Linked DNA regions of Callithrix jacchus. The protein of the gene in region 1 interacts with the protein of each later gene in a pairwise test. Links are inferred from orthologs where the notes say so. Each region holds a gene or a part of one and is shown in the gene's direction. Other genes may lie near its edges. The genes, in order: CERT1, RTN3 and ACTL8.

The links.
Region 2: the proteins of CERT1 (region 1) and RTN3 interact in binary tests that used the Homo sapiens proteins (3 or more experiments, as listed by UniProt). The link is inferred for Callithrix jacchus from reciprocal best matches to the Homo sapiens genes CERT1 and RTN3.
Region 3: the proteins of CERT1 (region 1) and ACTL8 interact in binary tests that used the Homo sapiens proteins (3 or more experiments, as listed by UniProt). The two-hybrid records come from large-scale screens. The link is inferred for Callithrix jacchus from reciprocal best matches to the Homo sapiens genes CERT1 and ACTL8.

What each region holds. Positions count from the first base shown.
Region 1 is NC_133503.1:135,566,715-135,571,143, forward strand, and holds the start of CERT1 (ceramide transfer protein), read left to right. Parts: upstream 1-1,611; 5' UTR 1,612-2,013; coding exon 2,014-2,109; intron 2,110-4,429. UniProt on the Homo sapiens protein: Shelters ceramides and diacylglycerol lipids inside its START domain and mediates the intracellular trafficking of ceramides and diacylglycerol lipids in a non-vesicular manner.
Region 2 is NC_133511.1:120,771,048-120,774,700, forward strand, and holds part of RTN3 (reticulon-3), read left to right. Parts: coding exon 1-894; intron 895-3,653. UniProt on the Homo sapiens protein: May be involved in membrane trafficking in the early secretory pathway. Inhibits BACE1 activity and amyloid precursor protein processing. May induce caspase-8 cascade and apoptosis.
Region 3 is NC_133508.1:54,714,974-54,717,824, forward strand, and holds the end of ACTL8 (actin-like protein 8), read left to right. Parts: intron 1-1,348; coding exon 1,349-2,104; 3' UTR 2,105-2,233; downstream 2,234-2,851.

The sequences.
Region 1 (4,429 bases):
ATAATGAAACAGGACCTAACCATACAATGCCCACAAGAAATCCACTTCACCTATAGAGACACATGTAACACTATAAGTGAATGGACAGAAAAAGATATTCCATGCAAGGAGAAACCAGAAAAGAGCAGGAGTAGCTATCATATCAGATAAAATACTACTGTAAGTCAAAGACTCCAAAGAGTGACCAAGAATATCACAATATTAGAATAAACAAGTCAATTCAGCAAAATAATATAACAATTAACAATATCTAAGCACCAATACCAGAATACCCAGGTATATAAAGCAAATATTGATGGACACAATGAGAGAGATAGAGTGCAACATAATAATAGTAGGGGAATTCAACACCCTACTCTCAGTAAAGGACAAATCATACAGACAGAAAATAAACAAAAAAACAGGGGGGTTAAACTAGACCAAATAGGCCTAATTGACATTTAAAGAACATTTCACCCAACTGCTGCAGAACAATCCTTTCATCAGCATATGTAACATTCTCCAGAACAGACCACATCTTGGCCACAAAACAAGTCTCAACAAAGTCAAAAAAGTAGAAATCATATCACATTATCTTTTGTAAACACAATGGAATAAAAGTAGAAATCATTAACAAGAGGAACCTGGGAAACAATACAAAAAATTAATTAATTGCTTGCTTTAATTTCAAGCAAGTTCAAATCAAATGACTTGTTCGTGGAAGGGCATTGTATCTCATGCCTATAATCCCAGCACTTTGAGAGGTCAGGTGGAAGGAATGTTTGAGGCCAAGAGTTTGAGACCAGCCTGGGCAACACAGCAATACCTGGGCTAGCTGGGCTTAGTGGTGTGTGCCTATAGTCCTTGCCACTCACTTTAACAACTCTTCTAACGTCATTTATTATCTGACAACCTCAAAATTACTTTCCACAAAGAAAACTCTAGAAATCAAAAAATGCGAAGTGCGTGCTTGCGAGAAGGGAGTGAGGAAATTCTGCCTTTAAATGCGGTAAATGTCAAACGTGAAGTCGAACTTATAATTAGCAAGACCCTTAAGATTTACAGCTAGGCGGAAAGAAAACCCTCAGCTCGTGGTTGAAGCGGAAGCGGCCAGATGCTCCCGAGCTTTCGAAAAGCCGCCCAAGAAAGCAGGCCCGTCATCCTCAGCGGAAAGTTCTCTTGCGTCCGGGCCCGCAAGCCCGTAGAGTTTGTCATAAACACACAAGGTAAGGAGAGAAACGAGGCCGAGGGGCAAGTCACGCAACTGTCAAACGAAGCCCACCCACCGACTGACAAGTCCCCAAGACAACAAGCGATGCCCGCGCGGGATACTCACCCGTTACCTCAAGATCGCAACTACAACTCCCAGGAGGCTGCGCGATCGACAGACCAGCGCCCTTCCCAGAATTCAACAGAGTGGCGCCCCTCTCCCGCCCTCTCCTTGCGCCGCTCCTCCTACTTTAATACTTGACGTCACCCAGGAGAGCCGGAGGTAGGGTGCTGGAGGAGGATTCCGAACGCTCGGCGTGTTGCGTCAGACGCCGGGAGGGAAACGGGGCGGAGAGTAGGAGGGAGAATGGGAGGACGTAGAGGAGGGGAAAGGACAGGGGAGGGGAGGGTAAATAGTGGGCCAGGCAGGAAGATGGCGGCTGTAGCGGAGGTGTGAGTGGACCCGGGTCCGGCGGCCGGATTTTCTCTTCCCTTCTTCTCCCTTTTCCTTCCCTGTTTGGAATTGGCATCGAGGAGGCTAAGTTCAGGTGGCGGCGCCGGGCGCAACGCAGGGGTCACGGCGACGGCGGCTGACGGCTGGAAGGGTAGACTTCCTTTACCACTTGTCCTCCTTCCCCGCTCCGCTCGGTGTCAGGCGCGGCGGCGGCGCGGCGGGCGGACTCCGTTCCTCCTCCTGCTTCCCCCCATACCGGAACGGGCACTCTTCGCTTCGCCATCCCCGACCCTTCACCCCGAGGACTGGGCGCCTCCTCCGGCGCAGCTGAGGGAGCGGGGGCCGGTCTCCTGCTCGGCTGTCGCGCCTCCATGTCGGATAATCAGAGTTGGAACTCGTCGGGCTCGGAGGAGGATCCAGAGACGGAGTCTGGGCCGCCGGTGGAGCGCTGCGGGGTCCTTAGTAAGGTGAGCAACCCGCTGTGCCAAGGGACCTCTGGCCAGACTCACCTGCCGCAAGGCAATCCGCTGAGGCCGTGGGGTGGGGCTGGCGGGAGGCGCGGAACGTGCTGGGGTGCGGGGCTGAGTACTGCCGCAGCGACTGGGGATGAGGTGGGGATATAGGGGTACTGTCGGGGGCAGCCGAGGACCAGGGAAAGCGTGTGTCAACCTGGGATCCGGTTTGGGAGGCGAGATGACTTGAGACGCAGGGCAGCAGCTGTCTCGGGTCTAAGGAATCCGGGTTGGGCTTCAGCGGTGTCCGAACGACTGGGAGTGGTTCAAGTCGGACCTCTTAAAAGAGGTTGGTCTGTCTGAGGATGTTGGCACTGAGGTTGGGGGGCACTTCGGACGCAACTGTTTCGATAGAAGCCGGAGCGACTCGGCTTGGTGTTGAAATTTGAGGTGCTAAACTATGCCAGGTTAGATGTAGTGAGACAGATGAATGTGGAGGACTTTCTCCACCCTATACCCCAGTTTAGAAGAGAGATATTGAATCAGCACCTGATAGGCACAAGAAATATTAATAGTAACTTGGAACATGTGAGAATGGAGACTGATCTTTAGTTCAGGAAGAAGAGCATTATTTAATAATAAAATATTTTTGCGGTAAGGGGTCCGGGGTAAGGAAAAGATATTTCACCTTTTATATATTTTTTTAAATCCCTGTATCAAAATTTTAGCAAAGCAGTCATTTCTAGGACTTTAGATGGGTGATCTCTTGATAATACATGGTTGTGGGTTTTTTTGTTTTTTTTTTTAAGTTTTTGCTATAAGAAGATTCACATCGCCTTTTTGACTTCTCCCTCCCTTCCTGTTAAACTTTTTTAGAAATGGCTGGAGCTAGCAGTTAACTTGGAAAGGGAGAGCTGGGCCAGTCCCACAACAAGCTGGTCATAAGATACTATGTCATGTGCAGACTGGCTATTAAGAAATCACCCTGTTTCCAGTATTCATACTTTGGCAAATCACTTGGACATTATTTGTGGAATTGTTTCATATTAGGCTTTTATAATGTCTTTAGAAAGGGGACCAGGAAAAGCACGAGTAGTCAGAACTAAGGATTGAAAGTGTTGACTTTTATTTGTATAGCAGAAAAATTATGTTATGTATTCGTGATGTGATCATTCTTGAAATTTCAGTGCAAGGTTTTCAGTAAAGTGAAGCTCCTCAGGATTTCTTTAGATTAAATGTATCCTATAATTTAGGAATCTGTTGAACACATTGTATAATAGGTATACATTTTCAGTTGGTAATAGTTGTGAAATGGGTTACTTGCTTCTCAGTGATTTTGATAGTTTCATCACTGCTCATAAGATGGGAAGCCGATTGCCATACTAGTACTGTGGTGTGTTAAGTATTTTGCAAAACAAATTGTACTTTTAACCTACTGATAATTACTTTTTTAGGGGTAGGGGGAGTGGAGTGACTGAGGGAAAAGTCACCAGTGTTCTAAGTATTTACTGTATGTGGAGTAGGTATACTATAGGTCAAAAAATGGAAGACCAATCTCGATATTTAAATGTGTAAAAATGTATTTGACACCTTTATGGAAGGGGAGTAACTTATTTTGACTGTTGGTGCTTATGTAGAATCCATAGGAATAAAGCTTTTGATATTATTCTTGCTAATAGCTTTGAAGGAAATTTTTCCTGAGATTTACCAATTTATGGTTACATATAGTGTTTTCTGGAAGCTTTTTAATCAAAGGTATTCTAAATTGAATATATATACTTATACTGAGTATGGTACATGTTTTTAAATGTAAACTATATATTTTGAATTCTTTGTATTCACCTGGTAATTTAAACAAGGGTCAGAACTCGGCTTTTGTTCTTTTCCTTTTATTGAGTAATGTAAATAAGTCCCAGTGCAGTTTGTTTTGTTTCTCCCTCAAAATGGGGTGGATTTTGAATGGGCTGAGGTAAATTTATATTAAAAATATACAGTTCAAAGCATATTTTCCATCTGGTAGTCTGAAATACATGGAAATACCTATGAGGCATATTTCTTATAAATCACTTAAGAGTATAGATTCCAAAAATACTGGATATACAATAATTCTATGTGGTTATAACAAATATCATGATGGATCATGGTGGGGAAAAAATTCTTGCCTTAGTTGGACTTAAAAGCAGCTAAGTCTGGATAAAATAAGTCTCATTCAATTTCTGAATTTCCTCCATCCCTCATGGTTTTCCTTCTTCTGTTTTTCCACACACCTTTCTTGAAGTTCTATCCATCTTTAAGAGTCTAAGTCAAATACTGTCTTTTCCATAAAGCCTTTTAT
Region 2 (3,653 bases), on another chromosome or scaffold:
CATCTAAAAACTTTGAGGAGTTGGTCAGTGCTTCTGAACTACATCAAGATTGGCCTGATACTCTTGAAAGGAGTCCAGCTGGTGAGGCAGCATGTTCAAAAGTACCCAATATGAATATCTCTGTAGATGTGAAGCAGTCAGATAAAGTGAGTGAAGTTGTGCCTGAAAAGCCTATTACTACTCAGAACCCCAAACTTCCTTCAGTGTCTCCAGATGTTTCTAATGAGACAGAATTCTCATTAAATATGACAACATCTGCCTATTTAGAGTCATTAGATGGGAAAAATGTTAAACATATAGATGATTCCTCCCCAGAGGACCTAGTAGCAGCCTTTACAGAAACCAGAGAGAAAGGAATAGTAGCTAGTGAAGGAAATGCCTTTAAGGCAGGATCAGAGAAGACCACAGACTTTAAAACAGCTCTTCCTGTAGAAAAAGTCTTACGTGAAAATGAGCCTGGTGGTTCTGAAATTAAAGACATTGGAAGCAAATACAGTGAACAAAGCAAAGAAACAAATGGAAGTGAACCTCTAGGTGTTTTCCCCACCCAAGGTACTCCAGTAGCATCCCTTGACTTAGAACAAGAACAGCTCACAATCAAGGCTCTTAAAGAATTAGGTGAAAGACAGGTTGAGAAGTCAGCTTCTGTACAGCATGACACAGAATTGCCTTCTGAAGAAGTGCTGAAACAAACTTTCACATTCGCTCCAGAATCTTGGCCACAGAGATCATGTGACATCCTAGAACATAATGTCAAGAATGGATCTGATCTTGGGATTTCCCAAAAGCCCACTGCTATCAGAGAAACCACTAGGGTAGATGCTGTTTCCAGCCTTAGCAAGACTGAATTAGTAAAAAAGCATGTCCTAGCAAGACTTCTGACAGACTTCTCAGGTAACTATTCACATCAGAATACTGCATGTGGTTAATTCTGTGATTGATTATTTATCAGCATGCCATTTATGTTAGAGGCCGATTTATACCTACAGATTATGGCTAGAATATAATATACTGTATGATGGGAAAGGCAGATTCTTCTTCTCTCTCTCTTTTTTTTTAATAATGATTGTTTGATTTGGTTTCCTTAATACCAGTATTTCCCAAAGCAGTAGACCACTTTGTAAAATTAATCTTCCCCTAAAATTTTTTTCTATGCTCCAGTTATATTTCAAGGTATGTCTTTTCTTATAGGTTGGCCCTAGGGTGATATTAGGTGAGAACCTAATATCATCAGGTTCTTACTTATTTACAAAGCTTATTTCTAAATCTTTATAACAGTCACACTTCTTAGCACTTGGGTTTATTGATATGGACATTGTGAAATCTTAGCAATCAAAGATAAAGGAATTCCTGCTGGGAAAGATAGTAAATGAAACTTTTAATTAATGTGATCATATACTACAGAGATTTTATGCTCTGAAAGTAGGTAACCAGTATTGTAGTACTATTTTATGAGTAATACTTAGGAAAACTCGTACTTTCTTCTACTTTGTATCTTACTTAATATTCTTCAGGCCAAAACTCATTGTTAGATGGTACCAGAAACCCCTTCTCTTGTCTTCTATTTCAAGTGATCACTTTTATAGCAAGTGGCTTTCAGTTAAATTACTGCAAATACTGTCTATTCTGAGGTCTTGGAAAGTACAAGGAAAAAAAAAAAAAAGATCTTTCAAGCCTTCTACAAGAGACCCCCAACCTTTAATGTAATACCAAGTTCTGCATCTACCATATGGTCAGTGTTAGGTGCTATGTAGAGATCTGTGGTTTTTAAACTTTTTTGATTATAGATCCTTTTTTCAAATGAAATCATATACAGAGTTGTAGTATTTACAAGAAAGTGAGATTTTTGTTAGGCTAAACGTATTTCGTGTTTGATTATACTATTTACTTCTCATAAAGGCATTTCCTTACTGGAGACCATAGGTAGACTTACCTTCTTAAGTTTTAATATTTAAAACAGAGAAATTGTACTTAACCTTATAATGGTATTGTGAGGATTAAATATGGAAATGTAGGTCAGGACGGTAACTCACGCCTATAATCCCAGCACTTTGGGAGGCTGAGGTGGGTGGATCACCTGAGGTCGGGAGTTCGAGACCAGCCTGACCAACATGGAGAAACCCGTCTCTACTAAAAATACAAAAGAAAAAAATTAGCCGGGCATGGTGGTACATGCCTGTAATCCCAGCTACTTGGAAAGCTGGAGAGGCAGGAGAATCACTTGAACCTGGGAGGTGGAGGTTGCAGTGAACCAAGATTGCACCGTTGCACTCCAGCTTGGGTGACAGAGCAAGACTCCATCTCAAAAAGAAAATACAGGTAATTCAGTGCTTAGCACATAGTAAATACTCAGTCAGATTTAGCACCACATACATGGCCTGGTACATAGTAATAAGTACTGGATAATTACTTATTGAATTAATGACATGAATTATTTCACTAATAATTATCAGTGAAGACATTGAGGCTTTTCAATAAACCAAAATTTTTGAATTACCAATTAAGGATAGCTGTTACACTCTAGTATTTGAAGCTCACTGAATTTAGATTAAAGAGTACTAGATTCTAATTCTTGCTGTACTGTGCCTAGAAGTACGACTTTGAACAACTAACTTAGATAGGCTTTTGGGGGCCTCAGTTTTCTTATCTGTAAAGTGAGGATCTTGAAGTAGATGATCTTCAGTTATTTCAGTAATGTGATTCTGTGGCTCTGGTACATTCTAGATTTCTTCCTGAGTTGTCATAATTCTTATAGGTAGTAACTTTTGAGTAATAAGTCATATTGGAATTATGCTATAAGAACTCCCGTGTCTAATTCTGGCAAGTTCCTGCTTTAGCGTGACCTTAGATGACTAGTCTAATTGGTTCAGCGTCTTCCTTTGTTAATGTGATGATCATTATTTTCCCCTGCTTTGTGTGTTGCAGTAAATAAAGTGTTGTGTAAATGCTAATTATTAGTAATTCTCAACTGAATCATTTAATCTAGCATGAGAGATGAAAAGGGCTATGGAAGTTCAGGATATTTGTCACTGATCAAATTCTATGATTAGTATGTATTTTTAGATGATAATTAAAGAAGACTGGTATAGTTAGACCAAGAAATTTAAAGGTCTTTCTTGTAGCTTTCAAAAGTGAAAACCTTTTTAAATTGTCTTATTTATGAGTACATCTTTTAAAATAACCATTTCATTGCAATGAACCGAGATGGCCCCACTGCACTCCAGCCTGGGCAACAGAGCAAGACTCTGTCTCAATAAATAAATAAATAAAAATAAAAACCATTTCAGTAAAATGCATCAGTGTCTAGTTTTATTTATTTATCTTTTTTTTTTTGAGATGGAGTCTCATTCTATTGCCCAGGCTGTACAAGTGGTACAATCTCAGCTCAGTGCAATCTCCGCCTCCTGGGTTCAAGAGATTCTTGATTCTCATGCTTTAGCCTCCCAAGGAGCTGGGATTACAGGTGTGTGCCACCATGCCCAGCCAATTTTTTGTATTTTTAGTAGAGACTGTGTTTCACCATGTTGGCCAGGGTGGTCTCAAATTCCTGGCCTCAAGTGATCCACCGCCTTGGCCTCCCAAAGTGCTGGGATTTACAGGCCTGAGCCACTGCACCTGCCTGATTGTCTAGTTTTCAATACATATATCTGCAT
Region 3 (2,851 bases), on another chromosome or scaffold:
ACAAAGCCTTATTGTTATTATTTTTTAATGCTTTCCAAACATCAAGACAAAACAGGAATTCTGATATTTACAGTTTGGCAGTGTGCTTTCCTACTACGGCATCTGAGTTAAGTCGTGCAGCAGAGATGGTTTGAGACCATATATCAAGTTAAAGGCTAAAATATTTACTGGTGTGGGTTTGCTAGATAAAATACATGATGCCTAGACTTGAGTTTGAGGGAAATGACAAATAATGTCTTCGTATTTAAGTATGTCTCAAATAGTGCATGGGGCATACTTACGCTACAACATTATTTATTGTTGATCTGACATTCACATTTAACTGGGCATCCTGTAGTTTCATTTGCTGGATTTGGCAACCCTTACTGTCTATCCCCTTACAGAAAATGCTTGCGAGGCATTGAAGAGGAAGTTCCTGGGGAGTTTTAAATGGAGAGTTGTAAATGGGGCAGTCATGTCTGATTTTCTATTTGAAAAAGAGAACCTTGGCTGCTATTTGGGAAATGACTGGGCGGGAGGAAAATTTTCTGAAAGTGGTAATAGAGGGAGCCCCCTCCCACTGAGGGAAGAGGATGGGCTTGTGGGGGCTTGAAGAGGTGAGTAAGTGGTTGGGGCCACAGAAGTGTTGACTGTTATGATCTTTCTCCTTCTGTGGGATTAGAACCTTAGACAGGCAGCCAGAACTGAGGAATGGTTGGCAGAGGGGCTTCATAAAGATTCAGGGGGTAAGGGGCAGGGGGAGAAAACCAGCCCAGGGGCTCTACCAAACCCTAAATATCAGAATTCCAGGTTTATCTTGACATTTGTAAGGTTTTTATTTTAAAAAAAGGATAAAATCAGGCGCTTCCTACCAGGCAGTGGGCATCCTGTCTCTTTTCTTCCTTTTCTGCCTTTTTTCTTCCTTCTACCTGTTGTCTTTCTTTCTTGTCTCTCTTGTCTGTCCCCCTCCACCTTTTGGAGGCAGTGGTGGATATCCAGCACTTGTTTCTTTTCTAGTCTGTCTTCCTTCTTCTTAAGTGGCAGTTCAGGCTGCATGTGTGACCCGTGGCCATGCCGTTCATGTAGCCGGCATCCCAGAACTGTTTCTTGCAGCCACAGAGCTCTTCTCACCTCTCCACCCAGGTGGTCTGAACGGCCACGAGCAGACAAGCTCCTGAGGGCTAACCCAGCTCCCCTTCTAATCCTCCAGAGCTGCTGCTTTATCCTCACTGCATGAGCTCCAGTAGCTCTGGGCACAGCATCCTGGGGCAGCCTGAGGGTCCCCTGAGGTCGTGGGTCTGTGCTAACTTCAGCTTTGACGGCTGAGCAGGCTGGGGAATAGCACTGAGTTTGCTCTCCCTCGTTGCAGATCCTGTTTGAGTTGCTGCACGTCCCATCTGTCCTCCTGGCCGACCAGGTACAGATGTCCCTGTATGCCTCTGGCCTCCTGACCGGTGTGGTGGTCGATTCTGGCTACGGACTGACCCGCGTGCAGCCTTTCCACCAGGGCCGCCCCTTGCCCTACAGTGGCAAGACGCTGGAGTTCGCCGGCCAGGATCTCTCTGCCTACCTCCTGAAAAGCCTCTTTAAGGAAGATTGTGATAGACGCAGCGTGTTTCAGCTGGAGACGGTCGCTGTGACTCAGATGAACAAGTGCTACGTGCCGCAGAATCTGGGGGAGGCCCTGGACTTTCGCGAGAGCCAGCAGAGTGGCTTGAATGAGAGCAACACCTATCAGCTCCCAGACGGCTCCCGTGTGGAGCTGACCCCCATGCAGCAGATGGCTCCTGAGATGTTCTTCAGCCCACAGATGTTTGAGCAGCCAGGGCCCAGCATCCCACAGGCCATCCTGGAATCCCTAGAGTCCTGTGAGATCTCCCTGCGCCCCCTGCTGGCCTCCCACGTGATGGCCTGTGGGGGCAACACCCTTTATCCCGGGTTCACAAAACGCCTGTTCAGGGAGCTGATGATGTGGGATTATTTTTCCTCCATCAGAGCCACGGTCTGGGCAGGTTCCAATAGAAACTTCAGTGTCTGGCTAGGAGCATCTGTGGTGGCTCACCTTTCTACCTACCAGTCTGAGTGGATGTCCCGAGAGGAGTATGGTGAGCGTATGAGGGTATGACCCTACTGGCTCACTCCTGAGAATGGGCCCCTGTTAGATGGGCATGGGGGGATTAATTCCAGCAAAATGTTCTGGGCAGGGGTAAAGTGAGATGGGGTGGGGTTACCTGGCTTCGGAATTATGGGGTCATGAGGGTATTTTTTAGGTTTTAAGGTTTTATCTTGTTGCAAGAGTGGGATCCACCCAAGGGGGAAGATAAGATGTCATCCTCAGAAACCCTACAGGGGACAGTTTTTCCAGAGTGGCCTGCCACTGGAGTATGAGTGGCTGGCTGCCATCTCCATGTCTGATAGCCACTGGTTTTTCATTGGCATCTCCCTTGGCTTGTCTCATTCTTCTTAGTTGAGTAGATTTTAAGTGGGATAACCCTTCTGCTAGGAGTCCCAATTATTTTTGACTAGGGGATGGGGGAGAGTTGACATTTCTGGTCCCACAGACCCTTTCTGGCCTGTGAGGCATTGCTGCAGGTGAGCCTGGGATGCCCTCGCCACCGTTCTTCCTGTCTGTCTTCCTCCACTTTTGGATCCACTGGTTGGATCTTGTTTTATATCTGCAAATAAACAGCTTGTCTGGAAATAGTGCTGGCTCCTGTGGTGGATGGGGGGGTGGACCCTTGGAGAGACTCAGTGAGTGTAAGTGTGAGAGAGCCACGTGGCAGACAGGCAGGCTCTGAGGTGTCGGGCCCATGAACAGTGGCTGCCACTGAGCAGGATGGGCAAGGGTCTGGACCTCCTGTTCTTCCATTGC